2 linked regions of the Macaca mulatta genome follow. The protein of the gene in region 2 interacts with the protein of the main gene of each other region in a pairwise test. Links are inferred from orthologs where the notes say so. Each region holds a gene or a part of one and is shown on either strand. Other genes may lie near its edges.

Region 1 (3,660 bases), on a different chromosome or scaffold from region 2:
TCTTACTTTAACAAGTGACATGTTTTCCAAAGGTTTTTAAGAAATATAATCCCATTTTTCAAGTCATCCAGAGCATGAAGAACAGACTCTAAGACAACCCCAAATTATCATTGTCTCCTGGTACATACACCCTTGTGTAACTCCCTATCCCCTTGCATGTGGGCAGGACCTGTGACTACAATACTACATAAAATGTGACAGGTTGTCACTTCGTAAGTATATTACCTAAGACTATAAGGTCTGTCTTACTACGAGACACACTCCCTTGCTGGCTTTGAGGAGGCAAGCAGCCATGTCAGGAAGGCCCAAGAGGCAAGTAACTAAGAGTCTCTGGTGAATAGCCAGAAAAAAATTGAGGACCCAATGAATCTAGACAGATCTTACGCTTTTTGCAAAAATAAACTCAAAATGGTTTACAGACTTAAATGTAAAATGCAAAACTATAAAACTCCCAGAAGATAACATAGGATAAAATCTAGATTATCTTGGATTTGGCAGTGACTTTTAAAATATACCAAAGGTATAATCCATGAAAGAGAAAATTGATAAGCAGGACTTCATTCAAGTTAAAAATCTCTGCTCTGTGAAAGACCCTGTAAGAGAATGAAATGACAAGTCACGGATCAGGAGAGTATATTTGCAAAAGATAGCTCTGAGAAAGGATCAAAGAATACTTCAAACGCAGTAAGGATACAAAGAACACTTAAAACTCAACAATTAAAAAAATTTAAAAATAGACCAAAAACTTCATATACACCTCACCAAAAAAAAAAGGCAAAAAAGCATATGAAAAGATGCTCCACATCGTATGTCATCAGAGACATGGAAATTAAAATGAGATACCACTATACACCTATTAAAATGGCCAAGATCCAGAACATGGACAATACCAACTTCTGGCAAAGATGTGGAGCAACAGGTTCTCACTCATTGCTGCTGGCAATATAAAACGGTACAGCCACTTTGGAAGACAATTTGGCAGTTGCTTACAAAAATAAACATACTCTTACCACATAAGCCAGCAAAAACACTATTTGGTATTTAACCAAAGGAGTTGAAAAATACAGGAGCATGTAAGAGAAACAACTTACCCAGAAAAATATAATAAAAAGTTACTTAACAGATGACAAACATCCTTAATAAGTATAAGAGTATATGTAAGATATAACAATACATTCAAGGACATGCTTAAAGTTATCCACAGGGAGGTCTTTCAAAGGAAATACTAAAGTAGAAATCATAAAGGGAAGAAGTTAAGGATGTGTTATTTGATAAGAATGCTTATCATAGTATTTTAATAACTTGGAAATAAATTATGCTAAAAACAATATAACCATTAAAATATGATTATAGAATAGTTAACTAAAAAATATTTAACAAGATATTCACACCCAGTGGAGCATAGGCTACTCAGGAGGCTGAGGCAGAAGAATGGCTTGAACCCAGGAGTTAGAGACTAGCCTGGGCAACACAAGAAAACCCCATCTCAAAAGAAAGAAAAATACATACCAGATATATGTTGTCAACTCTGACAATAAAACAGTGTGTTATTATCTTACTTTTATACAGAAGACAGAGTGTGTGTGTGTGTGTGCGCGCGCATGTGTGTGTACCCAAAATATCAACAATGGTTATATCTGAGTGATGGAATTATGAGTGCTTTAATTTTCTTCCTTTTGATTTTCAACAATAAACATTATTGAAAACAAAACAAGCTAATAAGACAGTTTCTCATATACTCATAAAAAATAAATATAAAATAATGAAGAAAAGACACTAGAAGCTCCCACAAATGCCTGAAATTATATGTTCAAGAGAAACTAGACTAAGCACTAACCTGATATGTCCAGAAGGCCAGTGCTCGGGAGCTAATGTCCAACACGATCTCTGGTCGCAGTCCTGCCAATACCATAGCTTTATATTCCTCTGATGGACTGAGTTCTGTGCGGACAATATCTAGCTTTCCAGAAAGGGTACTGTTGCAGGCAGGACAGATAGCTGGTGAGCGACTAAACTCACCACTGCCATGCTGATCACAGAAGATGTGAGAGCAGGCAGTGACCCATGCATAGCCAGAGAGTTTGATGCGACACTTTCGATAATTACAAAGCAGCATGTCTTCACACAAAGACATAATAGGATAGTGAGGTCTCCAGAAGCTGAAGAGAGTCCTAATAAGGGGTAAATAAAAAGGCCAAGTAAGTTAAATTGCAATAAAAATAAAATAAATAAGTAAAAAATAAATATAACATGCATGTTTTTATTATAAAATACTGCACATTTTATTATATTCCTTGTATTTAGTATAATTGATATATTGATTTCAGTTACTCAATAATATTAATTGTGCTCCTTGTTTGTCCGGTTTTCTAAAAACACTTTAAGGATAAAGGTAAAGACAAAGGTGGTTACAGATCTTGCTAAAGTCAAAAATAATATATATGTGGGCCATGGGCAGTGGCTCACGCCTGTAATCCCAGCACTTTGGGAGGCCAAGGCAGGCAGGTCAGGAGTTCGAGACCAGCCTGGCCAACATGGGGAAACCCAGTCTCTATTAAAAATACAAAAATTAGCCAGGCGTGGTGGCTCAAGCCTGTAGTCGCAGCTACTAGGGAGGCCGAGGCAGGAGAATCACTTGAATCCGGGAGGCAGAGGTCGCAGTGAACAGAGATCGCGCCACTGCACTCCAGCCTGGGCGACAGAGCAAGAATCTGTCTCAAAACCAATATATAGGCCGGGCGCAGTGGCTCACCCCTGTATAATCCCAGCACTGTGGGAGGCCGAGGCAGACGGATCACGAGGTCAAGAGTTCAACACCAGCCTGACTAACATGGTGAAACCCCGTCTCTACCAAAAATACAAAAATTTAGCCTGGCGTGGTGGCGTGCGCCTATAGTCCCAACTATTTAGGAGGCTAAGGCAGGAGAATCGTTTGAACCCGGGAGGCGGAGGTTGCAGTGAGCCGAGATCGCGCCATTGCACTCCAGCCGGCGACAGAGCGAGACTCCACCTCAGAGAAAAAAAAAAAAAAAAAAAAAAGGTGCCTTGGCCCTCCGGGTCGACAGAAAGGAACACTTGGACACCTTTATCCCAGTAGCCCCGCTCAGTGAGTTTCCTCAGGTATGTCACCTGGCAGCCACGTTAAGAGGCCTATTTTACGTCCGGGGCAGAGGCGAAGCAGAGGAGCTGGGAAGCTTTAAAGCTGAGCCCTCGCTCAGGCAAGAGAGGCGCAGCTAATTCGAATCTTCCACCAGTTGGGAGTAAGCGCCTATCTAATGGCTGTACAAGCTGCGTGAGGGCCAAGTTTTAGAGAAACAGCCCCACAGAAATTACAGTCTGGAATTTTCAGTCAGCTTTCCGCGCTCAGTAGAGAAAATAATAATAACAAATGATACTTAATCTGAGGCTGAAAGAAAAAGCGCGGAAAAACTCCGTTGCCTCCACAGCTCCACAAGCGAAGATTCCAGGATTCTCTGCGCGAGTGCTCCAGGGAACTACACCAGAGCGCGCGTGCGTAGGGTTGCCCCGAAGCATCCTGGGACCTGCCAGGCCCTGTGGAGGTGCGGCGGGCAGCTCCGGCTTTCTAAGAATCAGGAGAAATTCCCAGAAACGGTGTGACAGCTGTAATTGGACAGCTGGCACCTCCAAGTTGGGGTAATC
Region 2 (2,315 bases):
ACATAATTTAAAATTAAATACTTTTACTAAAACAAAACAAAATATAATCATAAACTATTATCTACCCTGCTATAGTTTGTGTTTTTTTAATCTTAAAAAAACCTGCACAAAGCAAAACAAAACAAAACAAAAACTGGTTTTTGCTTAAAAGCACTGGTGTGTGAATACACATATTTATTTATTGAAGAGAAAAATTTTTTCTTGATGTTCAAAGCTTCCCTGCCCTATCAGGTTCAACAGTGAAGGTCATAGCCTATCAAGCTTTGGAAGTGTACGAAAGCCCTTAGGGCCAGAAGAGTGTTTTCAAACTTGGAACTAGAAAAGATTCAAAGCTGTACCCACCAACCACTGAGGATCAAACAATGAACAAAGACAAGAGTGACTAGGATAGGTGGGGTGAAGGGAGTGGCTTGCCATGAAGAATCAGCATTATGAGATGCACCAGGACCCTAACATCTAACACACAAAATAAAGATCAAAGATAATTCTCATTTAAGGGACTGTTGATACCTTGCTTTTTTTCATTTAACTATTTTATCACTGTTTGGTGAAATGCAAAAATAAATAGAGCCAAAAGAATTTGAGAAAGGTAGGTTTTGAAGACATTTTTTAAAAGATGTAAGTATATGTAAAAGACAAAAGTTGTTGCAATTCCAGGTGTTCCAATACTAATTTGAAACTCGAATGCTCTTAAGATAAATATATTATTCAGGGAAATCTCAAGATAAAATACTGAGTCAGTTACAGCTGCTTTTAAGAAACCTGAAAATTGTGGTTACCTGTGACATGACCACAGTCCTTCTGTTGAATATACTAGGCAGTATTTGTAAAAATACTGTTAAAAGAACTTGGCTTCTGAAACCTTGGGGGCAGGTTTTTAAGATTTCAACATTTAAATAATATCTTACTCGTGGTTCTTTTACTTTTTAATCTTCTTTTGTTAAAATAAATTGGGGGCATAAACACAGCATAAAGCCTACTGAAATTTAGGAAGTAAACTGGATTTACCTACACCAAACAGTAAAGCAAGGAGGTGTTGCCAAACCACCCTTACATTGAGATGGTTCGCCAGTGTGGTGTGTTAATCATCCGTAGTGAACTCATTATTGTAATTAAAAATCTTCATCGATATTAACCTATTAAAGATACTGCCTATGTGAATTTATCATAGGCACAATAGAATTACAGATTTCTACAAGTAAATAAGATGTCAGATATTTTGTTTTCAGTAATTTCAATAGCATTGTGTGTCCCCTGGATATAATTCATGTCTCTCAATTAGTATTGCAGTGGATATTATCCAAAAGTAAGATAAAAATTTAAAGAATATATCTGATTTTCATAGTGCAATAACAGAAAGAAACTAGAGACAGATCAACGGGCTAAAGTAGTAATCAGACTGGCACACATTTCAAAAAAATCCATGGTGTGACTGCCCAGGCGAGGTGAAACTGAAGACAATGTGCTTCCGATCAAAGAGCCAGTGAGAGAGCCAGAAAGTGAATGGCTCTCTGCAGTTGTGGAATCAAAACTTGATCTTGGTCTGTGTAAGCCAGCAGCAGAACAGGAACGCTGAGGTGTTGAGGAACCAGACCTCTGCTCCACTACTTCATCTGAAATGGACCAAAGAAGAGCAATTTATATGAAAAGTATATATGCCCAAGCCCTTCCTATGAATTTATGATATTCAGAATATTAAGTAAACACATCTGAGCAAAGGCAACTTAATAATGAATGTCATGTTTCAGTGTTTTAGAAGCACAGTTCTCTTCCTTCCAACAATCATAACAAACATCGCTACCAATCACAACACGTGCACACAGCCAAAATGTGGCCTCTAAGTCCTTCTCAAATCGGAGTATTGGGCATTGATACTGGCATCAATCAAACTGATATCTCTTCATGTGAAGAAAGCGTATCCTTGACAACTTATTTTCTTCTAGCATATCAACAAAAAAAATCATTAAGGTAAAAATAAAAGTTACCATCATATATTGCCTTGGGGAAGTGGGGGGCAAAGTGAGAGAAATCTTGTTAAAACTGCAGATTCTACGATTCCCAGGACCAAAACACAGGGATCTGTGTTTTAATAACAACATGTAATTTCGATGAAAGAGGTCTGGGATCCATATAAACACTACCGTACATATTTGATGGTAGTTCAAGAGTAAAATTTAAATACTTTGTTTAAAACAACTTCCCTAACTCTAAACTCAGTTCCATTTTTGTTCCATCCAGCACCTGACCCTCAGTTTATTCTGGTTTTATCCCACTTGGGCCTCTGAAATGAATAATCAGATTTGGTTTACCCAAGT

The links.
Region 1: the proteins of PRKAA2 (region 2) and CCNB1IP1 interact in binary tests that used the Homo sapiens proteins (3 or more experiments, as listed by UniProt). The two-hybrid records come from large-scale screens. The link is inferred for Macaca mulatta from reciprocal best matches to the Homo sapiens genes PRKAA2 and CCNB1IP1.

Annotation. Positions count from the first base shown.
Region 1 is NC_133412.1:93,119,298-93,122,957, forward strand, and holds part of CCNB1IP1 (E3 ubiquitin-protein ligase CCNB1IP1), read right to left. Parts: intron 3,584-3,660; coding exon 3,396-3,583; intron 2,172-3,395; coding exon 1,838-2,171; intron 1-1,837. UniProt on the Homo sapiens protein: Ubiquitin E3 ligase that acts as a limiting factor for crossing-over during meiosis: required during zygonema to limit the colocalization of RNF212 with MutS-gamma-associated recombination sites and thereby establish early differentiation of crossover and non-crossover sites.
Region 2 is NC_133406.1:183,918,210-183,920,524, forward strand, and holds part of PRKAA2 (5'-AMP-activated protein kinase catalytic subunit alpha-2), read right to left. Parts: intron 1,614-2,315; coding exon 1,375-1,613; 3' UTR 1-1,374. UniProt on the Homo sapiens protein: Catalytic subunit of AMP-activated protein kinase (AMPK), an energy sensor protein kinase that plays a key role in regulating cellular energy metabolism.